Linked DNA regions of Caenorhabditis elegans. The protein of the gene in region 2 interacts with the protein of the main gene of each other region in a biochemical or structural test. Each region holds a gene or a part of one and is shown on either strand. Other genes may lie near its edges.

Region 1 (7,494 bases), on a different chromosome or scaffold from region 2:
ACGACTTCTTCCTTTTTCTTTTCAGTTGAATCTTCGTCTCCTTCGTCACTTCCATTCCCATCTTCGTCCGAATTTGTACTTTCTTCAGTTTTCTTGACTTTTTGTGGATTTTTCGAAGCTTCAAAAGCTTTCATCCATTCCAAATGCTCAGGATTTTCAGGATCGAAACGAGTGAATGGTCGAGCTTTAAGTGTTGAAGACTCTATAGTATTTGGTTTTTTCTCTTCGACACTTTTTCCTAGAATTTTAGACAAAAGTTCTCGATTTTTATCTTTTTCTAATTTCATTTCTTGCTTTTCCGAGCTCTGCTCCATATTTCCATCTTCATCAGAATCACTTTCTGCAAACTTGTCGTCCAATTTGAATCGGGGATCACTATTGAAACGTGATTCTAGGTGCATCAGCTTTTCGCCTAAAAATTGAAAAATAGTTTTGGTTTAATTTATTTTAATTTTAGACAATACCTTTAGGACCAGAGTGTCTATTTTTGATTTCAAAATCTTCCTCCTCATCTTTATCGTTTTCATCTTCAGAATCGAAGAGTTTTGGACGTTTTGAACTGCGCGAGGTTTTCTGAATTATTCCAACTTAGTTTACGAGTATTGTCTTTACAGCAAACAACTTTATGAAATCGGGCAATTGCTGTTATAAGAGATTTTTATCTCAAAAAATTGAAAAACTTCCAACCTTTTCACCATTCGCGGCTGTTTTTTCTGTTTCTTCATCCTGATCATCCCCATCATCCGAATCTTCAAATACAATGCGTTTTGTCGTTTTTTTGTCAACATTAGCAATGTCAGCAGCAATTTGACGATCTCTTTCTCTCTGATCTTGAATTTTTTGCCTCATCGCGGCTCGACGAGCTTCATCTGAACGTTGACGTCTCTTTTCATCATTGTCTTCATCGTCCATTTTCTGAGATACATTTTGCAATAGTTTTTATGTGATTCTAATTATTTGAAAATCGCAGAAATTCGAACGGGAGACAACCGTTATTTGACAAAACTCAAACAGAAAAATGGAGATCAAATTTATTCTAGATAGAAGTTTGAGATGAATTAATTCAATCTATTAAACAGTGTGTGAAATAAGACAATTAACAATTTGAGGAGGTCAGATCAACAGTTACAACCAAGAATGAGGCATATTTTATGAAAAAATGTACTCGTGATGACAGGCGAACATAGAAAAAAGCGAGCTTTTTTGCTCAATATGTATAAGTTTTAAAAACAATTTTCTGCCACACATCTTAGGTCGAAACAGAAATAACCAGAAACCTGTCAGAGTTTGAAAGAAAATAATGATGATACAAAAGAAATGAGCGAATTTTTAAATTAATACGAGAAAATCTGAAAAAAAGATTTTCAGAAAATCTTTTCTAAAAAATAAATTATCCTTCTAGAGCCCTTCTACAAGCTTCAAGACTTTCGATTTGTTGATGTGTTGACTCGTAAAGGCCAGAGCAAATATTAACAAATTTGGTAAGCACTCTACGAGCATAGTGTTCATCTTCAATTGTCATATCAAACATTTTCCACATTGATTCTTGAAGTTTATCCGGTTTTGATTCCAAAATCTCGTAGAATTTGTCGACATAAAACTGAAATTAATTGTTTTATACAAAATTAAATCATAATTTTTTCTCACCTTCACTTGATTATGACGATTCATTTGGGCAAGAAGTGTATCAGCTTTAGCTTCAATTACATCCTCATCAGTGTCAATTTGACGTGAATATCTTGATACAATCCATTGTGCAAGCATAACACGAACAATTCTGTACGAGAGAGTTTTATGGCGATTACGAATAATCTCCATCTTAACAACTGCATCTGCATGTTCATGCTGAAATATGTATGACATTTGTAAACTTTCATCAAGTTATAACAACTTACATTAGCTTCTTCAACACGATTTCCCAATGCATTAATTGCCTCGTGGAATAGTTTCGACTCGCCAACTTGAGCCTTCTGTCTGTCTCTTAATGCTTCCCATCCACGTACTGGAACAGGAAGAAGTTTGTTTGGAGCTGGGTTTTCTTTGATTGCTTGTCTCCAAATACGCTCATCGATTCCTGAAATGAATGAAATTTGATACAATGCGAGGGAGGAAAACGAAAATCTTTGTTAATAAATGATAAACATAGTAAAAATAACGAGTAAACTAACCATCAGGAACTGTCTCCAAATATCTATCTCTTTGTGCTTTCGACATTCCAACTTTAGGAAGAACCCTTGTTTTATCCACTTGCAACTGCGATTCTAATTGGGTCATTTTTGGAGCATCATTGAGGATTTGAGCAAGTTTAATAGCTCCTGCAACAAATCCGCCTTCTTTGGCGATAATACAGATTTCTGTGCATCCATCAGAAAGTGTTCTCATCGAAGTACCAGGAGCATATCGAACTTCTACATTTGGTCCGCCACCAAGAATAGCTTTGATAATTTCAAGAATTTTGTCACGGCGTTCTTCTGTGTTCAAGTTTGTAATAGGATGACGCAGCACCAAAGTTACAAATCCCTCATCGTCGGTTCGCTCCGAAATACGATTGTATCCGATTCCCTGAAACGTGACACTGTGCAAGTTTTCAGTGATTTATAAAATAAACTTACAACAAATCGTTCAAACAAGTTTCCTTCCATTGAAAACGATAGAAGCTGATTTCCATCTTTGTATGGAGCTTTTCCGACACCCAAACCGGCAGCAACTTGATTCAACTTAGCAACAACTCCATCATTATCATTTCCAAAGAGCTTTGGATCTCCGACAGCTTTCACAAATGGGTGATACTGCTGAAAAAATTTTATTTGGAAAAGCGCTCAGATATTCTTAAGATTCATTTAATTACCTGAATAACTTGTTGCTGCTGAACAACAGGCTGTTGTTGTTGTTGAGTTGCTCCAAGACCACCAAGAGTAGACCCTGAGCTGGAACCAAAAAATCCGCCTGTAGCTGGCTTTGCAGTACTCGATCCAAAAAGCGTTGATCCCGCGGCTGTTCCAGTCGACGCTGCTCCGAATGGGGTCGATCCTGAAAATTGAGCCATCAAAATTATCAAAGTTCGTTAATTAGACAATTATATTCCAGATTCACGATAAAATACTTGAAGCAATGTTTTAAAGCTAATTAGACATATCTAAATTAATTATTTTTAAGATTTAATATTAGGTTTAGTTTTTTTTTTTTTTATTCGGTTTTTGATCTGACCCACCAAGTCTACTCAATTCTAGAAATATGAAAAGCTAATACAAAGTTGATGAATACCAACCTCCAAATGTTGAGTAGGGAGGACGATAAGCTGCTGGAGCCACATTCAAGTTGTTTGCCGGTGATAGAAAAGATGACTGTGGGGCATTAGTTCCTGGTAACGCAGATGGTGTGGCAAAAGATGTTGGAGTATTACCAGAAAGACTACCAGCCCCCAAAGTTCCTGATTTGAATGCTGCCAATCTTGTGGCAACGGGTGATTTGGCAGTTTGTTGTGTGGATCCAATACCGCCGAGACCTCCAGATGTCGTTGATGATGTTCCGAAGAGTCCTGAAGTTCCAGAAGTGGTTCCAGATGCCGGAGAATTTGTGAAAAGCGTGCGGTTAGCGTCATTGGGTGCTCCAAACAAATTGCGACGGGCTGGTGAACTAACATTCTGGGTTGCTGGGGCTGGAGCTTGAGATGCTGATGTCGTAGGTAAATCGGGAAGATTTGGAAGATTCTTCGGCATGTCTTCTGCTTTGATTCCGGTGATGCCCCCACGTCGGGCAAACATTTCTGCAGACGCTCGAGACGAAGAAAACGAGTAGCAAAGAGCAACACGGGTGATAGAAGAACAGGCAAAGAAATCCGCACGACACCGACCACGACAGAGAAAAGTGAAGGTAACGAACACAATGACGACGAGAGAAGTAGAGCGATAGGAGAGAAATAACAATTTTGAATAAAAATTAAGCGCAAATCACAGAAGTAGAACCTTGGTAGGTCAAATAATTTGTCAGATCAAAAAATATATTGAGTCTATTTTCTTTTTTCATTCATTTGTTGCTGGAATTTAGAATATAATTTTTTGGTCCAAAATGTATTACTTCGATCAATATGATTTATCGATTTCCCCTCCTTATCATTGTCTAGCTTTTCTCTCAACGAGACCACACAACAGCTAATAGTATAAACTAAGTAGAAGTGACCGAAAATATCGATAATTTTGAGTAGCTTACCGGTTGTAGAAGCACCGAAAAGACTTGGAGTAGCTGTTGAAGTGGTTGGAGCAGCACCAAACAAAGTTCCAGCAGTTGAAGTGGTAGTAGTTGAAGTGCCTGTCTCTGAAATTTAATATATTTCGGTTTAAAATGCAACTTTGATTACGAAGTAAGTTGTGTAAAAGTAAAAATATCAAACTTACTTCCAAACAATCCTCCAGAAGGAGTAGAGGTATTTGTTGTTCCAAAAAGCGAAGGCGTTGATGAAGCCTGAGCAGTTGAACCGAACAGAGGCTTTGATGGCGTTCTGAAAATAATATTTTTGTATAAAAATAATACTTCTTAAAATACTAACGTGCTTCCAAACAAAGTTCCAGACGATGTTGTTGGAGCATTCGGCGTTGGAAACGTAAATGCCTGTTTTTGGGGAGTAGATGACCCGAAAAGTGACATTTCGCTGAAAACAAACGATTTTTAAGAGAAATGGGGCTTGTGAGAAGAAAAAGAACACATATGTAGTTAATGCGAGAATTCTAGAATGAAAATAATAATATAAATAAGACAATGAGCCGAATTAAATCGATTTTTGGGGACGCTTTGGCGTGCAAATTTTTTCGAATTTTGTCTGTGTACGAAGGGGCGCGTTTGCTGGCACCCTCCTCGAAGATGAAAGAATACATATTCCGAAGAACATTCAACCGTGAAAAGAAATGCATGTTTCAGGTATTCAGTTACTTCGTATTTTGCGAAAATTTGATAACTCATTTTAATCAAGAATTCTTAAATTGAATTTCGATATAAAAGATATCAATAGTAACTTCTTTAGATTTCCAGTTGTTTTGTTGAAAAATTTTTTTTTTAAACCAAACGATCGTTTAAACGATACGAATAATACTTTATTTCAAATATAATACAACATTTTGAGATGAGATCAATAAATCGTTCGGTTCTGTTCTAATTAAATCTGATTAGACAAAGCAATCATAATCACCGAAATGACACCAATAACAGAAGAAATTGCCAACGTAGCATATGATCGGGTTCCTTGAATACTCTTGAATACAAATACATCAAGAGCTCCACTAATTAACGGTGGAAGACGGGCGGTACATGGATAGGCAACAACTTGAGATAATTTATCACTGGAGACAAACCAAAGTGTCATTCCTGAAGAACTAAACATTTGAACAATCGACCACGCATCTCTTACCTGTAGTCCATAAAATACCGTACCCAATCGATGGAATTATCAAATTCCTTTCCACGTAGGCTTTTCGACGCAAAATTACACAATACGCGAAGAAATACAGTGTAGAGAAGAGGAATACTGATGTGTAGAATGGGAAAATATAGTCAAACACTTGGAAACTATCAGTTGGTGGATTCTGTTGCTTCAAATATTCAATCGGTGACATCATCAAACCATGTAGACACGCAAGAACCATTGCCATAAGGATATAACTGAAAATTCGTTTTTTTTTTAAATTTCTAAGCATGCCCAACGAACGGTAATTTCTTTGCCAAACCAGCCATATCAAATGAAGAATCTCTTTCTGAATTGCTGAGTCTTTGCTCAATCTCTTCTTGATGTTCCATTTCCTTGCTGGTCACATCATATTCATTTTCTGGCTCCGTTTCCACGTGTTTCACGAATATCAAAAGAACTCCACTCACGATTGTCAATGCAATTCCAATATAGTTCAACACATCATTTTTCACATTCTGCGGGGCAATCCATTGGAACAGCCCGAATCTTGCCACTCCCCATCCGACAATAATCTTAAAGAAGAGTTTCAGAGTAGTTTCAGAGTAGTAGTAGTAGTTTCAGTATGTTTCAGAGTAAGCTTTCCGCGTAGACACAAAACGCCTGCCTGCATTTTGAGGCAATCTGCGTCTTCCCGCCAAAATTCCGAAAATAACGAGGTAGACGGTATGGGCGCAATTGCTGGAAATTTTGAAAACCAAAAAAATTGTATCACATTTCCAAAACCTCTGATAGTATTCAATTGAAATTCATGCCACAAATAAGTATTCAAGAAATAATTTTAGATTAAAATTATTTTGAAAAACCTTTTTTTTGAGACCCGAAGAACTCGTGGGATGTCCAACTGGGGGGATTACCAACTCGGGGGATTGGCCCCGCCCACAGAACCGTGGCTTGCAATACGCCCATTTCTGCAACTGCCGCACGGTTTTAAAACTGTATTTTTCTCAATAGAGCGAGAATTAACAAGAAAAAATAATTTTAGTTGCAAAAATTCAGTTGCAAAAATGGGCGTATTGCAAGCCACGGTTCTGTGGGCGGGGCCAATCCCCCGAGTTGGTAATCCCCCCAGTTGGACATCCCCCGAGTTCTTCGGGTCTCTTTTTTTTCAACATTTTTTGGTTTTCTTGAAATCAACTGTAATTCTGTCGCAGAAAAATTCTATCGTGGGTTGAATTCTACGTCTATGGCGGTTTTCATAATTTTTCCTCCGATATTTTTTGTTCCAACACTTTTTTTTGGTTTTCAAAAGTTCCAGCCCCTGCGACAAGTTATAAAATGAAATAAAAACCTGAAGACTAGTCCAAATCAAGAATCCAACTCCCATCCCAATTCCTTCAACAATTGGCACACTGAATACATTTCCAGTTGCATAAAGAAATCCTCCAATACACGCAATTGGCTCGAATTTTGGAAATCCACGTGCTGCGTAGAAGATGCAACCGACAATGAATACAACTCCACATTCAATCCACTGGACAAAAAATCCTGAAAATTTCGACTTAAAAAAGTTTCTATAATCCAAAATATACTCACCATCCTTACAATTTCTTCTTCTCAATGGAACAAACATTGTTCCAAAAGCGCAGCAAGAAAGAAGAAGTGCCACGTATCCGACGATTTGAAGTGAAGTATCTACCGTAGGAGCTACGGTAGAGCTCATTGTTACCTAAAAGTTTTTGCGTTACACATGATAATTACAAATGTTTGAATTGTAGAATTTCAAACAAATTGTTGAATCTAACAACCTAGTTGATTGTACACTACAATTATTTTGCAATAAAATCTGAGAAAGAGAAAGAATTGTACTAATAATAACTAGTATTATTAGTAGTTCTACAGTCTTTTTTACTATAAAACTACAAGGAAATGAGAATAAAATGAGGGAAACGAGGAAGGAAGAAAAGTGAAGAAGTAGAGACGTAGAGATACAATAGTTTTATTATTAGAGCGTGGTAGGTAGATCAAAAAAGTTTTTGGAACTATTCAATGTTTTTCATGAAATTTCCTTTCAGTTCTCTGGTTTCATTAGAACTTTC
Region 2 (6,180 bases):
CTGTCTGTAGAACCTTACCCTCCTCTCTCTTTCTCTATGTCTTGTCATATCTGAAACGGGTAACATAGACGTTGTTGCGAAAAGCTGGGGGTGATGCATGGAAAATGATGAGGAGAGAAAAAGAGGAGACAATTCTAATGGCAAACCGTCTTCCGCGGCGACACGGATTCACCCTCCTTCGATCCATCAATTGCGTCGTCCGTCGGCGTTTTCTTGGACAACAGTTGTTATTCATTCAAAAAGGGGAAGAAGAAGAAGCGTCATTCAACATGAAATGCAACATTCTCTGAAATCTCTCAATTAGACCGGTTCCCCTCAGTTCCCTCATTCCGAAACCCCTCGAATTTGAAGATAAAGTTCAAACTGTAGATGTTAGTGGAAAATCGAGAGAATCAAACTATACACCTGATTGTAAAGGAATCGACAAGATCCTTCTCAATCCTATTTCTTGTTTTTTTTTTCAATGTTTGACTTTTTATTCAGGATTACATATGCAACCAGTAGAATGTTACGGCGGAATTTCGTCGATTTTCTCATTTAAAAATTTTTTTTTTTTTCTTTCTCATTTAAAAAATTTTATATATTACAAAACTAAAATAAAACAACTGAAAACGCATATTTAGATTTTTTTAAACAAAAATCGTGAGAGAAACCACGAAGAATCGAAGAAAATCCCACAGCAACTAAGGCTAGAAATTACAGTACTCTTTAAAGGCGCACTTCCGTTTGTATTTAACAAAAATGTCGTGTCAAGACCGGGTACTGTATTTTTGGCGCAAAAATCTTTAAACTTTGCGTTTGCTTAGTAAAAGTTGTCTTATATAAGTAATTAATTTATGAGGGGAACAACAAGAAACAACGACAAGGGGAAAGGGCTTAGGGAACAGGGATAAAAAGATAAGAACGTGGGAAAAACATCCAAGAAAGCCTTTTATAGGGGATGGGACCAACAAAACAAATAGACATTGGGTCCAACAAAACAAGGGCGAGAGGAAACGGGAAAATATTATATCAAAAAGAATATAACAAAGTAACGAGTTACTGTGGACGAGACGCATCTGTGGTTGATCAAACGGTGGTCGTAGGTCTACCTACGCATAGGTGAAGAGGCAGGTCTGACGATGATGCGCTATCGATGGTCTCTAGATCAGGGGTGAGCGGCAATCGGCGATCGCCGATCGCCGAAAGGGAAAAACGGGTCGGCGATCGGCGATTGCCGATGAAATTTTATAGTCCAAGATAGACCCCTCTGAAGAAGGAAGAAGGTATATTTTCGGACTATTTTTCACTACTTTTCGAATTTTAAGGTATCAAGGAGTGCTTTTCGTTGCCTAATATTCCTGTTTTTATAAAAAATTATTTGAAAGAGCTCTTAAAATTAGGATTTTAAAATTGAAAAAAATTAGACGCACACTGATCGGCAATCGGCAATTGGCGATCGCCGATTTTTTTTTGGCAATTTGTGATCGGCGATCGCCGAAAAAAAAATTTCATCGGCGATCGCCGATTTTTTTGGCCGGCTGCTCAGCTCTGCTCTAGATCTCTAGAAATCCAAAATTCAAGCAGAGAGCAAAAACAATTTAAACTATTGTATTTTTGATTTCATATAACAGTTTATGTCCAACTGTTACAGTAAAGCAGATCCCATTGGCATAATTTGAGACTATTTGGAATCGAACCTGTTTGGATATAAAATAAGTGACGGAAACTGTTCAGAGTGGCAAGTAATTAAACAGAACATTTGTTACTTTGCGACCGTGATCTTTGTAACAATCATGTTCAAATAATTGTCTCGGAATCAGTAAATATTATACACGCTTTTTCGAAAATTCTGAAATGGAAAGTTGAGGCAGATGAGCAGCTCAACTTGATTTTTCCCAATGTGCTGCTATCTACCAAAAATGAAATTGTCGAGAAAGTTTGGAAAAATGAAGAATACAGTTTAATAATCATCGGTACGTTTTATTTCGTGGGACTAATACCAAAAAAAGATGATTCAATTAGCAAAAAGAAATAAAAACGCAAAATAAAAATCGCCTCGCCCATGAATACAAACGAATGAAAAAGGGCTACAGCGGGTCTCATCAGTATTTACAATGAAATGAGCTACGGGAGATCGAGGACGGGGAATAAAGACATGTTGGATGCTGAAACATGGGACTAAAAGGGTCGATGAAAAACAGCAACAATAAATGAAGAGTACGGGTTAAATGTATAGAATAATACTTCTTGGAATTAATCAGGAGATGTAAGCAAATTCATGGAAGTGGCAAAGAGCACATACGGATCTATCGACGTGGGTGAATATTGGATCCACTTGCCGACTGGGGAAGGTGCGATGCAGCTTGATTTGGTCCTCGTGATCCTGCCGAAGCTGAACGAGCAGCTGCCATTGACCGTGGCATATCCGGTTGACGAGCTGGATTCTGGGATACAACGTTAGCATCGCTCATCAACCTTTCGATCATTGTCTTCGCATACTTCAGTCGGTGAAGGAATTTCTGTAAATTATACGTTATATTTGTTGATACTGAAATGGCGATTCAAACCTCTGGACATCCATTGCGCTGAAGATTGTTCAGCTTGTAGGTGAGCATACGCTTGTTTTGATCGATGAATGTAACTGCTTGCATTAATGGGCACATCATCATCTTGACATGATCCTGAAAATTATATTGTTGGGTGTTTCCATTAAATTATGAATTTGCTTACATTGAAGAAATTTATCTGAACAGTTCCATTGGAAAGGTGCAAAACAATTGCTGATTTGGTTCTGAACCAAACTCGAAGCGTTGGTAAACGAGCCAAGTCATCACCAGCTCTTTGTTCAGATCCTTCTCCAGCTTTCACCAAATGGTCATTCATGTAGGATCGAAAATACTTAAGCAATGTGACTTTCTTGTTGAGCAATCCAGGCATTTCACCTGAGTGCATCGAGAAGTAGTGCTCTTTGTTGCTCTTCTCAATATAGGTCAACTCGTTTCCAGCTTGATCAAGCATGATACGAGAATTGTCATTGAAGAGAACTCCGACGGAATTGTCACATAGTTGATATCCGATGCCATACTTGTCCGAATAGTCAACCCATTTCGAAATCCAGAAAACCGGGAGGCACTCTGGTGATTGATAACCATCAAGAGCAGCTTCTTCTTCTTCCAGCTGTAACAAACTTTTAATTTAAAAAAAACCTCTTGTTTATTCTTACCCCTGGAATACGCTGCTCTAAGAGCACAGCAACTTGGTGGAAAAGTTGTGAAAGGTATGCATCCTCGGGCTCCCGGAAAGTCGCCTCTGCAGCTTGTTGTTGAGCACGCTCACGATCGGCATTGTTCGACACGATGTGTTGTGGGAGGGCAGACAATCCAGCTCTTCCGTTCAATGGGCGTTGTGAACGAGCATCAACCCCTCTTGGAGCAACATTTTCCTCCATCATCGAAGTTTCGTGTCCTCCGAACTTTGGCACCATAGTGAGGCAGGAGACTGGAAGTCTAGTCGGCATGAATCCTGACTTGAAGAAGCCATCGCGTTGAACCTGTAGGGTTTTCATTCCGAGTTGAAGAGATTTCATAACTTATTTAAATATTCGAACTGATTTTTTAAAAATTGTTTTCGATCTCTTTACTAATTAGAACGAAGGGCAATCAAACTGAACGTGAACTATCTCTCAATAAAAGTTCACGATAAAATTCAAAAGTACAAATTTTCTAATGATGAAACTCGAATCTCCGATAATACTAAAATGATTTTCACTCCAGTTCAAAACTATTGAAATTACCTGCTTGGCAGTCGGACGACGTGTTGGCTCAGGATCAAGCATCTTGCGGATTAGGCTTGCTGCTGGTTGTGTTGCGATCGACGGAATGGTGTAGTTGTTGTGGCGAATGCGTGAGTATGTCTCTTCAAGCGATTTAGACTCGAATGGTGGTTGTCCGAAAAGAAGAATGTACAGAATGCATCCAACTGCCCAAATGTCAACTTCAAATGAGTGTCCAGCTTTGTTCAAAACCTCCGGAGCTATGTAGTTTGGCGTTCCACACAACGTTTTCTTTCTCTCATCACCGTTGACCGTTGTTGCTAATCCGAAATCTCCAATTTTGACAACTAGATCATCATTGAGGAAAAGATTTCCAAGCTTCATATCACGATGAATGATGTTCAGATCATGCAAATACAGCACGCCATCCACAATTTGATGAGTGAAATAACGAGCTTCAGGTTCGGTGACCGCCTTTCTTCTTTTGTGCAACTCCATCAGCGACCGTCTTGCACATAACTCCAAAGTGATATACACGTTGAGATTGTCCTCGAAGAAGTTGAATAACTTCACGATATTGATGTGTCCAAGCTCTCGATGAATCTGCACCTCTTGTGTCATCTGAAAAATCGTAATATGCACTGAACTAAGATTCGTTCATTGTCTACCTTATCTCTCTGGTATTGCTTGACGAGCATCGACTTCGGAACCACTTTTCCAGCGACAACCTCGCGTGTTGCTCGATTCGTAAGCTCATAACAGTGAGCGAATCCTCCCTTGCCCAAAAATCGTCCTTTCTCATAATAGGTCCCACGATCCTTGTCGGCGATGAGAGCGGGAACCTCTGGTGGAGCCTTCTCCTTTCTTTGGTTGGACTTTTGTGGGGGTTTTGCAATGTTGGGAAGTCGATTCATCTGAAATGCAACACAAAAATTAAAATATTCAGTATTAATAATTGAATAAACGTTTTTATTTCTAAAAATGACAAGAGGCGAGCTGGAAACTTGAAAAAGAATCGGTAAAAGTCATTTTAGGACGAAAATGGCGGACGGCAAATTCGAATGTTGATGCTTGGCGGGCGCAGGTCTCGCAGCGAACCGTGTGTCGATTTACGCGCCGATGAAAAAGGGTGCTAAACAAAACAGCGCGCTGTCATCGATCAAACATTTTCTGGTCAAACATAAATATCACGGAGACATTGATTTAAAAAACGGTTTTAAAAATTGAAAAATTTATTATTCAATGTACTTTCTGCAATAATTTTGTACATTAATGTTTTAAAAATTAGCAACGAACCTTTTTGGGCTTGTAACAGAACATTTGCACGTGTGTTAAACGATGCCAGATGTTAATAAAAGAAAAATTAATTTTAAATGGATTAATACGTATATTTTATGGCGTACGTAATACATTTTTACCACGTGTCTTCCACGTCTTACCGTCATTTGGAGAGAAGGCAGCTTCTCTTTTTGGATTAGTGGTAAGTTTTCGTGGTTTACACGCCTTTCTTTGACGATTAAAATGGATGGAAAGAGATACTATAACAATTTTATTTAATACATGAGATAGGATATTTAGCTTCAAAAACACTATATTTCCAAGACGGCATCTCAAAACATAAAATTATGAAAACGCAACAATGTTATACGGTTTGAAATTGTCAGTTGAATCTTTCAAAACCAGCAAGGACGTTTTCTTGTTATTCTCATCTGGAACACTGTATACATCAACTGGCTCGAAGCACTCAGTTTTGACATCAAAGCGCTCTCTGAAATTAATTCTAGTTTGCCTAACATCAGTTTTCTGCTCACTTTCTATCATAATTCGTACACTTCAAATCTCCTGTGACTTTTTCAACATTCACGTGTTTAGTGAAAAACCATTCTAGGACAACAAATTGATCATTTAAGCTGAGACGTTTCTGAAAAATAACAATTCTTCATTCCATGATGATTTTCAATACCTTTATCGCATGAGCAACTATATTTTCATCAATTCTGTCCGAATAAAAAGAAAAATTTGGAATTGCAATACACAATGCTAGAAATTGGTCGGTTGAGAAAGAACAGTGCTCCATAATACTCAGTGTTTTGCAATTTTGGAACTGAAAATGTATTGTACCAAAAATATTCAAAAATAAACATACTTACATGTGGAAGATCAAATATCTTGGACGGAATATCAAGTGGATATTCTCCATGAGGAGCAATACACAGCTCATTTAGAGAGTTCGGATCAACTCTTTCAATCCACCACTCCAACATTTCCAGAGATTCCATTTTTAGAAAAAGCCTTCTAACGATGATTTTTGGAATGTTCAAAAGCTCATTCGAACTACAAATACATTTGCTTGCTTTCTGAAATATCAAAATACGCGGAATTCAGATTAATTTTTTAACTACCAAGTCTATAAAAAGCTCGTCAAG
Region 3 (6,483 bases), on a different chromosome or scaffold from region 2:
ATTCTCTCATCTGTTTGATGGAGAATTCGCAAAACGCAATGGAAGCAGATTCAAGCATGAGGATATGTCTATTTTAATCATCAAGAAAATCATGAATAAACCAGAAATAAAATCTGAATTTGCTTGCATTCTTGGTGAAACTGACGAAGAGTATGCAAAAAGTGTTACGCTTATCACAGAACTTATCAGCGGAAAACCATTTGTAAGTGGTTTGTAATTGACAAAATAGGATATTTGATGACAATTGTTTTTCTTTCAGGATTTCCAAGATATGGACGGATTTAAAGATTTGCCTGCTGACGTGCGTGAGGAAACAGTCAAAAATGAATGGGCTATCATTGGCTGTGGACCAGAAAAATCATTTCTATTCGACGTTGTCTCCAATTCTTATAACGGACATGATGTCGACAAAATGGATTATTTGCTCAGAGATTCAAAAGCATCGGGAGTTGGTATTACATTCAGTGAATCAACACTCGAACGTTTATTCAATCATGTCCGTGTAGTAATTGATCCGAATAGTGGATTGAAGAGAATCGCCTACTCTATCAAATGCATCGGAGACTTGAAAGCAATCGGCGATTCACGACAAGAACTTCATTCGAAAGTTTATCAACATAAAGCCGTTAGATTCATGGAAACACTGTAAAGCCTGATTTTATTTTACAACAAGAAATATTCATATTTTAGAATGGTGGATGCTCTGATCAATGCAGGTGACTTCCTGAAGTATAAGGGATCAAATGGAGAACTATACTCACTGAAGAATGTCACAGAAGACGTTGATGCTTTCTTGAAAACTACGGATTATGTAGAGCAGGAGGTATTGCGAGAAGATAACTAAACAACATCAAAACTAGTTTTTTTTTTTAATTTCAGATTCTCAACTCCCAGATCACGGATCCAAAAATGATTGAAGCTCAGACAGCTCTATTGAAAATCCAGCGACGAGAAATCGGTTGCAAGCTTGGTTATTTTGAAATGAATCCAGAAAATGCGACGCAGTTGAAGGGGAATTGCAACAATCAGACTGGAGCTGCAGAAGTTGTCAAAAAAGTTGGACAAAAGATGAAAGAAATTTTGGAGCAAATGGATGATACTGAAGAAATGGATGGAAAACTGAAGGATATTCAGTTCACTGTAATGGTAAGATTATTTCCGTCCTGGTGCTGAGCAAAATTATATAATTTTCAGCATTCCGTCCTTGGTAGAGGTTTGGACGATAAAACTCATCCAATCGAACGTCAGATTTTCTACGATGGAAAACCGAGTGAGCATGAAGGGAAACAAGTTGTCGGATTCTATCCATCTGAAGATTATGTATGCTTATCAAATTTCTTGTCTGTTTCATTTAGAAATTTTTCAGGTTATCAACAATTGCCCTCGCATGGCCACAAAATGGGAAATCTTCGTGATGGGAGATCGTAGTTTGAGGAAAGAGCCACTGTTAGCGGATCGCGTGAAGCGTGCACTTCAACTTGCTGGGGAGTCTGAAAAGTTTTTGACCCCACGAAAAAGATCTCCGCAAGATTCTCCTGATGAAGTTTCATCGAGCTGCTCCACTGCCAAACGTCGTCTCGAATTTGGTAGCTCATAATAATCATATTTTAAATGTACTTTACATATACACATCAAATTATACATTTTACTGCCTCCTCCTGCTCAACATTCACCCAATGATTTTTCTGTATTGGTACCACATCTTAGCTTCTTACAAAGAAGAAACGGTTAGAAGTTTTCGCATTTTCTGTATGCAATTTTGCCTTTCTATTTGCTGTTTTTTTTTAATAAAGAAAGGAATGGAAACAGTGATTCATTCAACAACAATAATATCAAAACATTACAATAAGATTAACTTTCAGATAGAAAGCTCAGAAATTCCGGTATTCAGTTTGTTCTCGCGAGCTTCCAAGCTTTCGATTTCGGTAGCACTGCAAATGTTTAGATATTTTTGAAACATTGCCATTTGAATTTAAATCTCACTTTTTCTCAACAGCTGCAAATCTGTTCTGCTCTTCGCCTGTTCCACGTTTTTTCAGCACTATATTGGCCATTCGGTGGATCTCATTCGAATCTAATGTCATCTGTAAAAATAGTTTTATTGTTGTGTATAATTTGAAGATACTGGTCACCTTCGGAACTAGTTTTGTCATATCCGAGAGCATTTTCTGGTGTTCCTTGAGACGCTCGAAAATTCGAATTTCATTGTCACTTAATGGGACATTTTCGTCAACCCGGTGGAATAGCACATTGATTCCTTTTCGCGCACCTTCCATTCTTTCTTTTGTTTCGTGCATTCGAATTTTCAATTCTTCGACAGTGTTTGTTTCCTGAAAAGAATGTATTTATAAATCAACAATATGCAAAAAAAAGTTTTATTTACCTCAATCAGTCGTTGATCCACACTTTGTTGCTTTTCATCAAGAGCTTGAGCACTTGAAGAGACTGCGAGACATCTCTCCACGAATAACTTTGAGATTTCACAATGCTTCTTCAATCTTTCATCAACTGCATCGAAAAACTTCATAGCGGCATCAATTGCCTCTTCGCATGATACTTTTTCGGAGATTCTAAATTAGTACAATTAAGAATAAAAACTTGAATAATTTGAACTTACACGCAAGCTGCAAGTGGTTTCAAAGCAGCAAGTTGCTGCTCCAAAGAGCCCGTACTTTTCATAGGTGGCTGGGACACCGAATCTCTTCCAAAAGATGTCTTATTTTCAGTTGACCATATATTATCAAATGTGGAGATGTTGAATAAATGAGCAGGTTGACCATCTTTGTTTTCAAGAATCACCAAATGCATGATATTCTCAGATTCGGGGAGCAATTCTTCTTCCTCTGTTGCCAGGCTCTGTGTCAGTTGCACTGAAACAGCACGAAGCGCACGAGCTCCAGTCCATTTAGTAGTGTTCGAAAGTTCATCAGATGGAATAACTGCATCGACAAGCTCGGAAACTCGAGTCTCCTTTTCAAGAGTAGATGTTGGCGAGCTTTAAAAAAATTGTTTAATCTGATCTAAATATACGGTACCCGGTCTTGACACGACTACAAATGGCTGTGTCCCTTTAATGATTACAGCAGTTTCAAACTTTCGTTGACGTAGAATTTTCTTCAAGTTGTCGAAGTTTATGTGTTTTTGATTGATTTATTTTAGTTTTTTAAGCAAATAAATAAACCTTTAATCAGAAACTATGCGAAATCGGTGAAGCAACGAACGTTTAAAACTACGGTACTTTTTAAAGGCGCACAGCCGTTTGTAAAAAAACGTACATAGAAGTCAAAGCTTCAAACCAGGGGAAGATGTTGACTGAGAAAAGACTAGAAGATGTTGCAATTTCATATCTGCTGACTTTCAATGATCTGATTTGATTTTGTACTATTCTTGGATCGCCATTTGATGATGGGAGACGAAGTTGATCCTTCACAAGAAATCTGAAAAAAATTGTTTCAAAAAAAAACTTTTCGAAAAATAAAACTAACCGAAATTCTCCGAACTCATTTGGAAAAACGACTAGATGACTAAGAACTCCACCACCAGACACCAATACGAAAACCGAACAGATTCGAGGATTTGTAGTTTGAATGTATCGAAGATCCAGTGGATCACATGGGAGTCCGTCGACAGGTTCAATACGATGAATACGAGGAGCATAACCTTCTTTAAAACATGAAAAATGGACGAATGAAGTGTAGAAATCACAGTCGGAATCAATGGAAATTATTGAAAAATGCGAAGTATTCGGTTTTGGAGGAATCAAATCGAAGGAAACTGTAAATTTGATAGATTATTGAGCACTTTTCTCAATTACACAAACCTAATGCCTTCTGAAGTCCAAATGTGTTATTTGCCACATTTTCATCGTGTACTTGGTGAAGATGATTTCGAAAATCAACCGCTAAAAGCAGAGAATCGAACTTTTTCTGGAGATTGTAGAATCTGAAAATTAAAATTTTAGAAAAAATATTATCAGCGAGAATCTCGAGAAAAACCTAATACAGTTATCCGAGAAGAGAACTGCGGTCACGAAAGTCTTTTCGTCACATTTCTCAGGTAAAAGGCGAACTTTAACGACCGAGAGCGAAATATTCTGAAGAAGAAGACTGTCGTGGAGAGGGTAGCATCTGGAAATTGAATTTATATTATTACTATATCAAATGTTTTATATTCTCACTCGCAAAAGCATTCAGATGGCAAACGATCAGGTTTTGCCACTAAAATCTCAGCGCCAATTCTCACAACGAATAAACTTCTCGGACCTTCCAGAATCACATAGTCGCCTTAAAAATTTTATTATTTTCATAGATTTTTTAATTACAAACCATTTTTAGAAACAATAATTTCACGAATTTCCGCTTTCTTTGGAATCTCTGTCGACAGGAGAAGAACCTGAAAGCACGTTTTATACCAAAAAATTATAATTCACGACTACTAACCACTTCCTTTGTGTATTCTAAGCTATTACGATTGTTTGTGAATCCGACATAAACTTTTAATTCATTTTTATCGTAAATAATGACACTCGTTGGAGTTAAGGGAGTGATAACAGCTCTGTCGCTGAGAGAATCGATGAGATGGGTGATGAGCATGGCTGAAAATATATTATTTATGAAATTTCAATTAATATACTTCGTTAATAAAAATATAAAAATGAAGGAAACCCACTTTAAAAGAGAAAAACTAATTCAATTCGAAAATTTACTTCTCCGTCTGGTAATTTCTGCGTCTCCACCGTCTCTCTGTCGAGTGTCGATGGAGCGCATGAACCTAATTACAATTTCACTTTTTTTTAGAAATAAATCTTTGAACAAAAGTAAATCATTTGCCCAACTGGGGAAGCAAGAAACAAGAATAATATCGAGCTTAATTTATCATACAGAAGAATAGTAAAAATACAAGAAAAATTTTAATATTTTGATCTAAAATGGAAAAATTACAATTTTTTAAATTCAAAGGTACAATCGCCACGTGGTAGAAGAAGAGTTTCATAGATCTGAGTTATTGGATCTCCTCTGTGACGAATATCATAATTTCCACACAGCTTGGCAAGTGATGTTAGTAGATCCTGCTCGGCGAATCGTCGACCAGCGCACATCCGTGGCCCGAATCCGAACGGAAGATAAGCAAACGGATGAACTTCTTTCGATTTTTCAAGCCATCGTTGAGGCTTGAATTCGCGGGGAGAATCAGAGAACAGAACTTCGTGTCTAAAATGTAGCATTAATTGTGATCAGATTTTTAAAATTGCATACCTCATTAGAACATTTGTATTGATGTCAACAGCTGTCCCAGCAGGTACTTCATATCCGGACAGTATTAAATTTTTCTGGGTGACTCTTGAAACTTCAGTCCCAATTGGAAACATTCGGAACGTTTCCTTGATACAAGCACGGAGGAATGTAAGCTTGGAAGATGCTGGATCTTCTTTTATTTCTTTTTGAATTTCTTTTAGTGCTTCAGGATGTGTTGCGAGATTATATAGGTTGTATATTAGCATCGGTGCAGTCTAAAAAATGTTTTTTTTATTATTTTAATAAGTTACAGTCAGCTTACCGTGCTCAGACCATCTGAAAACATTGACAGCAATATTACTTTCACATCTCGTCTATTCAATTCTTTCCTGTTGATCAAATAGCTTGCAAACCTCATATCTTTGCTAGAGTATATTGAATATGTAAAAACTTTTCCCAGTCTTAAAGTGCAAACCTATCAGAATCGTTGACTTTCAGTTTGTCCAGAGCATCATCCATCAGGCGATCGACTTCTGAATAAAACTGATCCTCCAGATCTACCATTTTCCGCCAAGAAGGTGTTGAGAACAGACGGAATATCGGAAGACCGAGTCTCATTCTAAAAATCTAATTCAATTATGCATAAGTTTGCTTTAACCTAACTTGGCAGATAATTGAAAAATCTTTTTATTCAGCTCAATAAGTCCGTCGGCCCATTCCGATCGATTTCCTAGAGATCCAAGAGATTTTTCAAAAAGTATTTGACCAGCAGATTCGAGTGACCATCTTCCGGCGACTTTTTGCATATCTACAAGTCCAAATCTTTTCTGTTGATCTGCCACGTGACAAACCAAATCATTTGACACAATTTGAGAAAATGGAAGATATCTGAAATGAGAATTTGGTTTTGAGATCATAAAACTGTGCAAACGTTTGAACCGATTGTGGTCTCATCATTGCGTGTTGAACTGAAGATCGCAGACGATACCATTCAGGACCATTTCTGTAATAAAATTATCCTGATATCAATATTCGAATGTTTATTCTTACAGATTTCCAAGACCGGGATTCATTCCTTTCATTTCTCGATATTTTTGTGTTGTTTCTTGAAGTGGAACAATAAATGGAGTTTTTCCGTCCGCGGCCAACACAGTTTGAACATCAGCTGAAAATTGTATATTTGAATTAGAAAATCGAATAACTCAACTACCAGGATCAAATATATGAACAACGTATTTTCTTCCGAAGC
Region 4 (9,196 bases), on a different chromosome or scaffold from region 2:
GAAGAGATGTAAAATTTTCCAATATTTTTTGAACAACAAAACGAGGCACAAACACAACACAACAACAATGGGGGAGGGGGTATTTGGGAGAAAATGATGGAAATCTGGAAATTTTTTGGAAAAAATCGGACTGAAAAATTTGAAAACATCAGCTTTTTTTTTGGAAAAAGACACAAATTTCCGAAAATGTACAGTTTTTTAAAGAGAAAAGTACAATTTTTTCTGTAGAAAAAATGTATATTTTTTCAATGTTTCAGATTTTTCAAAAAGTTTTCGAAGAACAGTTATTTTTCTCAAAAATGAAATGAAATCCAGGAAATTATTAGAGCTTTTTTTTTAAATTTCAGCATGAAAAACGAATTTTCTGGTATTTTCCGGTAAATTAACAGTTTTTTAAGAGAAAAAAGTAAAATTTTTTTCTATGAAATAATGTATACTTTTTCAATGTTTCGGATTTTTCAAAAAGTTTTCGAAGAATAGTTATTTTTCTTAAAAATGAAATGAAATCCAGGAAATTTTTAGAGCTTTTTTCTTAAATTTCAGCATGAAAAACGAATTTTCTGGTTTTTCCGGTAAAAAAATTTCCGGAAAATGGTTTTTTCTGAAAAATTTCGATAATGTTTTTAAAAAATTACAAAACGTGTCTTTTTTTGAAAAACATATTTTTTCATATTTTGGAGAATTTTTGATTTTTTTAAAACAATTTTTTTCAAAAAGCTTGAATTTTCAGGGCGACTTCGAATTTTTCAGACATTTTTCTCCAGAAAATTTCCAGATTAAATAAATTCAGCAAAAGTAGGAATTAAGATAAACGGCGAAATGATGATCTACTTCTCGGCGTCGACCTTCAACATATTCGGAATTCCATCACGAATCGGAAACACCGTCTTGGTTTCCGGGCAGATGAGTTCTCCGTCGATGACGTCAATGTTCATGAGCAAATGATGGAACACTCTGAGCTGCTCATCGGTCAGCTCATCCCATTTTTCCGGTTTTTCACGTGGAATCCGGTCGGATTGATTGACTGCGGCGGCGGCGACGATGAGCGCTTCGTATTGGATCTGGAAAATTGAATTGTTTGTTTGAATATTCATTTTTTTTCTTTGTAATGCCGATATTTTAATTACGCAAAACTGGTGAAAATGTTATTTTTCAGTTTCTAAAAAAACTCAACAATTTTTTTTTCTAAATTCAATTTTTCAAGGAAAAATGAAGAAAAACTATAAATTTTACAAAAAAAAGGGATAAAATTAAGATTTCAGGAAACGTTTTTGGTAAAATCAATTTTAAAATTCATTTTTTTTTTAGTTTTGAGTTAATTTTTTTCCTTGGAATTCTGAAAAAAATGCAATTTGAAGAATTTTTGAAATTTTGATAAATTTATAGAAAATGAATCGAATTTCAACAAAAAACCAATTTTCGAGAGGAAATTTTCAATGTTTTCACTAAATTCCCTAGATTTTCTGCAATTTTTCTCAGAAATTTTCCGATATTATTACCCTGTCAAGCATGACGATGGTGTTATCCCTATCGAATTCGATATCCTTCTCGACAAACTGCTTAACAACCAAATTAAGCGGATATCCAACGGTGACGTTTTTCAGAAAACGGGAAGACATGAAGTTGTGCACAAAGAGCTTCATCTGCAAAAAATTGGAAATTGTTTTTATGGAAATTTTGAAACTTAAAAAAAGGATTAAAGGACGATAAATATGATAAAAGTGCTCAAAAACACATTAAAAATATGGAAAATAAGAAAACATTTCAATAAATGGGTACAAAGTGTGTTCATTTGATAGCTCGAATCAGGGAAGTTAAGAAAAACAGGAAAGTGTAGTAAAAAAGCCCCAAACTAGGCAAAAAACCAGTCGACAAAACCAGAAAACACAGGAAAAAGACACGAAAAAGTTGGATCAAAAGAACAGAAAGAAGGAGAAAAACTATATAACTTTTAGATATTGAAAATGTCAATTAATATGGAACGAATCAGTACAGGATTTTTTGAGGTCTTTTGGACCATTTTTTGAAGCCATAAAGAACATAAAAATCACAGAAAATGATACAAGCAATATGAAGATCAGATGGAATTAAAAATTATATGGAAATTGAATTTTTTAGGGAAAAAACCAGGAAATGAGACAGAAATTGTGCCACGTGGATATTGAAAAAAAAGTCAGAAAATTTGATTTTTAGATTTTTTTGCCCAAAAAATTTGGAAAATTTCTGAAAAAACCTAAATTTAAAAAAAACCTGAAATTTTTAAATTTCAAGGGTGAAATTTTTAAAATTATCATTTTTTCAGAAAACTTTTTTCCGTCAAAAAACTGCAAAAATTCGAAAAAACAGCCGCATTTTTTAAAATTTTAACAGCTTTTCTGTACGAATACAATTTACAGGTTTCTTCAATTTTTTGAATCTTTTTTTCGAAATTTTTAAAAATTCATGTGGCACGAGGCATATATTCAATCTTAAAAAATTGAGATTTTTTCTTCGAATTCCGTCTATTTCTCTGTATTCTCGTCCTCCTCGTCGTCATCATTCAAATCCAGCCTGCCACGTGGCAAATTCACTGGATGGCACCGTTGTAACGGAGTTCTCATGGCTCCAGGAGCATTATGATTAGGATGAATCGGCGACATGTCGAACACAAAACGTCTAAAATCTTGTGGACCGCCACCACCACTGCCTCCGGAAGTGATAATCCCGCGGAGCATTGGGTTGCTGTTCGCCGAGCCCGGAAATCGACGTGGCGTCCAGTCGAGATCCTCGTGACGTGGCGTCGCGTTGGATGAAGAAGAACGGTCGAGAATCTCGTATTCGTTGGCATCTGGAAGAATTTGAGATTTTTGAGACGATAATTCGGAAAATATTGGAAATTTTTTTCAGATTGGAAAATTTAAATTTGGCAAAAAATTTGTTCGCATTTTATGTAACCCTTACAGTAACCTTGAGATTGAAAATTTTTAAAATTAAATTTTTAAAGTTTTAATTTAAAAAAAATGTTTTTGAAGAGATTAAGGATATTTTTCAAATTTCTGGGGTTTTTTTAAAAATATAATTCCAAACTTCAATAATTCCCAGTCATTTCTCTAATTTTTTAAAATTAAATTTGCTTTTTTGCTTGTCAAATTATAGAATACTCTTAAATATAATTTAATAAATCTAGAAAAATCGAATGAAAAGGCAAAAAGGGGTGTTGTGAATGAAGAATGAAGAGGTGAAAAAGTGAGAAAAGCAGCAGCTGATGACGAGAGATTTAGAGACGCAGGAGGAGTATTCTAAAGTCTCTTGGCAATGTGCCAGATGAGGAGAAATTGAATGAAAATTCATTTTTGGAGGGTTTTTTTGGGAAAAACAAAAAATTGGATCTTGACTGGAACATTGAGTATCAAAATGTAATTTTTCCGGTTTTTCTTCCCGTTTGTTAAAAAGATTTTCCGCATAAAAATCTTGCCGAAAATTTTTTACGGATTTTCTGAATTTAAAATTATTTTAAAAATAATATTTATGAATAAATCCGCAATTTTTCCTCAAAAACGACCGTACCCAAATGAGAATGAGAGAAGACATTGTGCTGATGATGAACAGCTTCATTTTTCCCTTCTTCCTCATTTCCATCAATTTCTTCTTCGTCAATCGAGTTCATCATACAATCATTGAGAATCGAGATATTAATTGCAATTTGTGATGCAGTTGCACCGGAAGTTGTCATACTTGTCTCCGGTTCATCAATGTCATCTGTCACGTCTTTACGTACTGGCGAGAGCGAGTCGTTCTGAAAAATTGCGAATTTTTAATCAAAAATTAGTTTTTTCCCCAAATTTCTTGATTGTCATTTTAGAGTGAAATTTCGAGAAAAAGTTTGCTTTCTCAACTTTGAGAGAGAAATTTGGTAAATAAAAAATTAATTAAATGCAGAAAAACTCAAAACTAGATTTATTTTTTCAAAATTCGCTTGAAATTTACAGTTTTATTTTTTAGCTAGTTTTTAGAAAAAAATCAGCTTTTTGGAAAAAAAATTTAGCTAAAATTGAAATATGCAGAAGCGTCTATAAAATTTCTCTAATTCTTTAAAAAGCGCATTTTGAAAATTATAGTTTTTTTTTGTCGAATTCCCAAAATTTTATAATTTTTTTAACTAAAAGTTGACAATTCCCGTCTAAAATTTGAATTAAATTTTGAATACGAAAATCTTTAAAAATGTGAAATCCGAGTTTTCAAATGAATTTTGATTTTTTTTTGAATATTTATTTTCAGTAATTAGTTTTTATTTATTTTTTAAATCTAAAAAAATTTAAATTTTGACCAAAAATTGCTCAAATTTCACAAAAAAAAGGTTTTTTTATTTTTTAATTGCTATTTTCGATAAATTTTAATTTTTAAGCTTTTTCAGAAAAATAGCGTCTAAAACTAATTTTTCTCTCCAATTTAAAAAAAAAATTTTTTTCCAGCAATTCCCATCGAAAATTGTTTATAAAATCGTACAAAATGTTGTCCATTCGTCTCATTTAGCATCAAATCATCGTTAGAGAGCATCGACGAATTTTCCACGTCATCAGCTTCATCCTCGTCATCTCTCGGAGCTCCCGGCGTTCCACCAGCAGAGAATAACCGTCGTCGCGTGGAGAAATTCGATGAAACCGACACATTGAACACTTCCTCGTCGTCCTCCTCGTCCTCCTCGTCTGGCTGATAGACGAATTGCTCGCCGAGCAACTTTTTCAGGTCCAAATCCAAATTCGGGGGAATTGTGAGCTCGGTTTGTGCTGGACGATTTCGAACTTGGCGAATGTTCCTGAAACTTTTTCGAAATGATATAGGGCTCAACTTCTGAATTTTTTTCAGGAAAATTTCGCGCATTTTGAACAAATTCGGCACAAATGTAGTGCATTTTTCACTACATTTGTTTTTTTTTAATTTTGGTGAAAAATTCATTTTTCAAAATTTTCATGTTTTTGATAATTTTATTTAAAAATTTCCAGTTTTGGCAATTTCTTCCACAAAAAAATTGTTCGCAATTTTTTTTTGTTCAATTTTTTCCAGTGGAATAAAAAAATTGTTCAATTTTTGACGCTTTTTAAACTATTTTAGTGAAATATCACAGTGAAAAAAGTAAAAATTTCAAATAGCGCACTAAAATTCTTTGATTTTTTTTTCTGATTTTTCGAAGAAAAATTGATTTTATTATGAAAAATTAGTTTTTTTCAAATTTTTTCAAACTTTTCCGCTATAAATGCAAAAATGTTTTTTTTTTTTACAAAAAGATATTTTCCTTTAAAATTTCGTCAAAATATGGGGAAATTCTACAAAAACTTTTTTTTTTTTCAGACCGAAAAATTACATTCCATATGAAAATTTATGTGTTTTCTTCAGTAGAAATACGCAAAAAATGTTTAATTTTTAACTTTAAAGGATTTTCTCAACAAATCCTTTTTTTTTTGAATTTTCCGTTATTTTCCGGTAATTTCCATACTTTCTAGGCCTTTGTTTGGGTGATGACGTGGCGTAGGCGGCCTTCACAGCCTCCTTTTTCCGTACAATATTCGCCAGTGATGCAGGAGTTCCAGCAGCTGCTCCTGGAGCCGATGATGACGTGGCATTCTCTTCGGCGCCATAAGTGAACGTGGTTACTGTACCATCACGATGTGATAGATTTATGTATCGGGGACCGTCTGGAGATGGAATATAACTGACATTTTTCGTCCAATACTCGTTGAGCACCTCCTGAATCTTCTCCTCCACCTCGGGAATTCTGAAAAAAATATATAAAAATTTGGATAAATATTAGAAAAAAAAGGCTAATATCGGATTATTTGCCAAATTTTTGGAGGAAAATTTGAATTTTCAAGCAGAAAATTGCCTGAAAATAAAGAATTTCGAGGGTTTTTATTTTTAAAAAATTATGAAAATCTGCTGGAAAATGGGATTTTTTGGCATAAAAAGCCAAATTTCAAGTTGAAAAATATTTTTTAAAGGGTTGTTTAATTGAAAAAAAATTGGGAATTTTAGCCGTTTTCTATGACAACTGAATAAAAACTAACTTTTTGGGGTAAAAATTAATTTTCAGACTCCAAAAACCGAAAATTTTGCTGTAGAAAATGAATTTCAAGCGAAAAATAAGAATAAGGCCCGTTTTTCCGGCCGAAATTGGATTTTCGAAAAAAAATTCAAAACATAGCCGACAGCTTGTGATTTTTCAGAGTTTTAGTATTAAAATGTATTAGAAACTGGCGGAAAATTAGATTTTTTTAATTCAAAAAGGTATGTAAATCAGCTGAAGATTTCAGAATTTTGGCGTTTTTTTTTTGCGTCAAAAAAATCAAATATTCATCTAAAAAGCTTGAAATTTTGCTAAAAAAAATTCCATTTTTCAGGACAAAAACTGATTTTATTGGAAAAAATCGGGATTATTCAGCCAATTTCCTAGAATCTTCGCACAAAGTGCTCAGTTGTTTCCCGTTCCTTACGGTGATCGATAGCTCGCCGCAATTTCATCGTCTGAAATATGCGCGGGCTTCAAAATGGCCAACTGTTCGATGCTCCATTGAAATTTTTCGCTGTCTTTCTGCTGACTACACGATTCTTGCTGGAAAAAACACAAGAATTTCCTCTTAAAAATCGTAAATAATTACAGAAAAAACGACGCGAGGGCTGAAGTTGATGGATTTGTGCAGGGAATTGAGAAGAATCGAGTCCAAGGGGTTTAGGCTGTTGTTGGCTATGAATGATGAAAGTTCTGCAGACATTGAGAGCTTGGGATCGCTGCAAATTGGATTTTTAGGCTTAGAATATAATTTAAAGTCCTAAAAAAGCTCACTTTTGCTGTGGTGTGATACTTTTAGAGTCATATCCGGAAGTTGACGGGTCAGTAGTCTGAAAATCAGGTTTTTAGAGATTTTTCTAATTTTCATTCGTACATTAATGCTTCTTAGCGGAGTTTTGAACCCGCTTCTCGCTTTGTTCGGAAAAATCTTGCTGGGACGCTCTGCGGCGATTGGCGACACCTTCCATTCAGCTGTAAGTTTAAGATATAATTTAAATATTTTATATTAAATTTTTAAAAAAATCGATATTACCGGTTCGCCCATTCTCATCATGCTCTAACGCGGTGCTGTTGAGTTGTCTAGACTCTTCCCCTTCGCAAAACGACGAGACATTGAATTCCATCTAGTTTCTAGTGCTCGAATAGCTGGAAAATTATTTTTTTTAATAATTAATGAAAAAATAAAATAAAATCACGGAAAGTAGCGTTTAATTTAAAGAAAATCACATTAGAAAATATAAAAAAGAAGAAAAAATTGCTTGTCGTAAAATAAAATACATGGTACGCAGCGGTGTTTGCACACAAACACGCACCGTAGTTTGAGCCACCACACCTAACATAACCCTGAGAAATCATAATTACCGGAACAATTATATACACTTATTGTGAAAATACATTTTTAATTGCAACATTTTTAGCATATTTGCAATTTTAGTTTTTTCAGAGTTCTAACTGTAAAAGTTTAATTATTTTTAACGTGAATAGTCATAAAATTAAACGTTTTCCCGAAGAGTTCATGTCTACAAAACACAAAGTTGTGAGGTCTCCTCAAGAAACTCCAAATTTTGTGTTCAAAAAACACACAAATATTTTTTATTTTTCTAATCTATGTTCCCCGAAAAAATGCGATAAACATCTTATCTATTCTCTAACATTTCAGGGTAATCGAACCGCAGTTTATGTGCAAAACGATGGGAAAGTTTTTCTTCTTCGGTTTTGTGTAGGTTTTTTTTCTAAAAAAATTTACAATTATTTCTAATTTTCAAATTTTCAGCGGACTTCTGCTTTCCTGGGGAGCTCTCTACTACCGATACAGTGACGAGAAGAACACTTCGGCGAGAAAATATCGATTTGATCCCCCGCCAGCACTCGTTGGCAACCTATTTATAAATGCGGGTCTGGAAAAGGCCGAGCACATCCTTGACGGAAAAATTGTTGGACCCGAATCTATGGTGGTAGATGATGAGGCGATTTATGTGTCTGTTAATGATGCAAAAGTGCTGAAAATCGTTGACGGCCGGGTTGTGAGCAAGGCTTCATACTCGGAAAAGTCGAAATTCTTCCCAGACTGCGGGCATTTCGATACGGAGCCCGAATGTGGACGGCCTCTTGGAATCCGTCGACTTGTGGCTGGAAAACCGAAATTCGTCGTTTGTGACGCTTATTTGGGAGTCTACATTGTCGATTTTACCGATGAGCAAAATCGTATGTGGAATTTCTGGAATTTCGCTCAAACAAATCCAAGAATTTTACATTTCCAGTTGTTGAAATTTCTGGATATTGTTTTTTACTTCAAATTTAGCTATCAAAAATAGTTTTTCCTGAATTTTTCTATTTTTCATGGAAAATCTCTTTTTCTTGCAAATTTACCACTTTTTCGAATTCCAAATGGCAAAAACTGGGTTATGTTGTTCAAAAAATTTTTTAATTTTCTAGAAAAAACAGAAAATCTTCTCCAATTTTTCCAGCAATCTCCACACAAATCCTGGACTCAAAGGTGCCAATCGATGGTCTAAAACCTCGATTTTTGAACGATTTGGACGTAATTTCAGAGGATGAGCTTATCATTTCGGATAGTTCAACACGTCACGACCGTCGGCATTTTATGGCTGCAATCCTCGAACATCAAGCCGACGGACGCATTTTTCATCTGAAAATCTCGACAAAAAGCGTAAAAGTGTTGGCTGATAAGCTGTATTTTCCCAATGGAATTCAATTAACGGAGGATAAGAAATCTGTGATTTTCGCGGAATGTAGTATGGCGAGAATCAAGAAATTGACGATTGCATCGAAAAAAGTGGAAATGTTCGCGGCCAATTTGCCAGGCCTTCCGGATAATATTCGTAGCAGTGGCCGTGGAACTTATTGGGTTGGACTTACAGGTTCGTTCCTACCTGCCTGCCGAAAGTCGAGAATTAAAAAAATCGAAATTTTGAAAGAAAAATCGGAAAATTTGAATTTCGAATCAAAACATTTTTTTTCTTAAAAAGATGTTTAATTCACCTAAAATTGTTTAAAATTTAAAAAAAATAAAAAATTTTTAACAATTTCAAATTTTCAGCGACTCGCTCAGCAACTCATCCATCTCTTCTCGACCGGCTCGGCAGTCTTCCTGGTAAAAATTTCTTTTTACAAAAAAAATTAGAAATCGTC

The links.
Region 1: the proteins of plk-1 (region 2) and npp-1 interact in a test that uses a peptide from one of them, tested with the Caenorhabditis elegans proteins (one study listed by BioGRID).
Region 3: the proteins of plk-1 (region 2) and npp-24 interact in a test that uses a peptide from one of them, tested with the Caenorhabditis elegans proteins (one study listed by BioGRID).
Region 4: of the proteins of plk-1 (region 2) and spat-1, one has a biochemical effect on the other in vitro, tested with the Caenorhabditis elegans proteins (one study listed by BioGRID).

The regions. Positions count from the first base shown.
Region 1 is NC_003282.8:9,855,642-9,863,135, reverse strand, and holds npp-1 (Nucleoporin Nup54 alpha-helical domain-containing protein), read right to left. Parts: upstream 4,649-7,494; 5' UTR 4,645-4,648; coding exon 4,547-4,644; intron 4,499-4,546; coding exon 4,395-4,498; intron 4,315-4,394; coding exon 4,210-4,314; exon of another isoform or gene 3,765-4,209; coding exon of another isoform or gene 3,539-3,764; coding exon 3,269-3,538; intron 3,031-3,268; coding exon 2,849-3,030; intron 2,793-2,848; coding exon 2,613-2,792; intron 2,563-2,612; coding exon 2,169-2,562; intron 2,075-2,168; coding exon 1,896-2,074; intron 1,846-1,895; coding exon 1,648-1,845; intron 1,601-1,647; coding exon 1,391-1,600; 3' UTR 1,025-1,390; downstream 1-1,024. Other genes in the region: K07F5.14 (NUC153 domain-containing protein), read right to left, coding at 1-412, 465-573, 688-912; K07F5.12 (Transmembrane protein 144 homolog), read right to left, coding at 5,150-5,358, 5,402-5,652, 5,699-5,970, 6,747-6,943, 6,992-7,118.
Region 2 is NC_003281.10:8,099,836-8,106,015, reverse strand, and holds plk-1 (Serine/threonine-protein kinase plk-1), read right to left. Parts: upstream 4,669-6,180; coding exon 4,423-4,668; intron 4,376-4,422; coding exon 3,776-4,375; intron 3,533-3,775; coding exon 3,206-3,532; intron 3,160-3,205; coding exon 2,713-3,159; intron 2,664-2,712; coding exon 2,550-2,663; intron 2,502-2,549; coding exon 2,289-2,501; 3' UTR 1,947-2,288; downstream 1-1,946. Other genes in the region: K06H7.1 (uncharacterized protein), read right to left, coding at 5,378-5,522, 5,566-5,675, 5,718-5,858, 5,905-6,111, 6,157-6,180. UniProt on the Caenorhabditis elegans protein: Required for oocyte nuclear envelope breakdown before entry of oocyte into spermatheca. In meiotic cells, required for spindle dynamics and probably for spindle attachment to the chromosomes. Zygotic role in the development of the germline and nerve cord.
Region 3 is NC_003280.10:5,504,351-5,510,833, reverse strand, and holds npp-24 (Protein npp-24), read right to left. Parts: upstream 4,743-6,483; 5' UTR 4,669-4,742; intron 4,595-4,668; 5' UTR 4,593-4,594; coding exon 4,440-4,592; intron 4,393-4,439; coding exon 4,326-4,392; intron 4,284-4,325; coding exon 4,178-4,283; intron 4,128-4,177; coding exon 3,996-4,127; intron 3,943-3,995; coding exon 3,821-3,942; intron 3,775-3,820; coding exon 3,486-3,774; intron 3,438-3,485; coding exon 3,276-3,437; intron 2,996-3,275; coding exon 2,618-2,995; intron 2,571-2,617; coding exon 2,384-2,570; intron 2,331-2,383; coding exon 2,133-2,330; intron 2,085-2,132; coding exon 1,984-2,084; intron 1,932-1,983; coding exon 1,859-1,931; 3' UTR 1,801-1,858; downstream 1-1,800. Other genes in the region: Deoxynucleoside triphosphate triphosphohydrolase sahd-1, read left to right, coding at 1-202, 260-645, 691-823, 880-1,146, 1,195-1,320, 1,367-1,597; cyp-44A1 (putative cytochrome P450 CYP44), read right to left, coding at 4,937-5,210, 5,256-5,509, 5,557-5,659, 5,710-5,853, 5,898-6,122, 6,166-6,237, 6,285-6,399, 6,445-6,483.
Region 4 is NC_003280.10:14,526,747-14,535,942, reverse strand, and holds spat-1 (Protein aurora borealis), read right to left. Parts: upstream 7,192-9,196; 5' UTR 7,168-7,191; coding exon 7,077-7,167; intron 7,016-7,076; coding exon 6,918-7,015; intron 6,874-6,917; coding exon 6,818-6,873; intron 6,763-6,817; coding exon 6,633-6,762; intron 6,587-6,632; coding exon 6,468-6,586; intron 5,753-6,467; coding exon 5,474-5,752; intron 4,802-5,473; coding exon 4,486-4,801; intron 3,776-4,485; coding exon 3,547-3,775; intron 2,828-3,546; coding exon 2,502-2,827; 3' UTR 1,769-2,501; downstream 1-1,768. Other genes in the region: C04H5.1 (Multifunctional methyltransferase subunit TRM112-like protein), read right to left, coding at 828-1,061, 1,500-1,643; F57C2.5 (Strictosidine synthase conserved region domain-containing protein), read left to right, coding at 7,723-7,763, 7,818-8,248, 8,512-8,925, 9,105-9,158.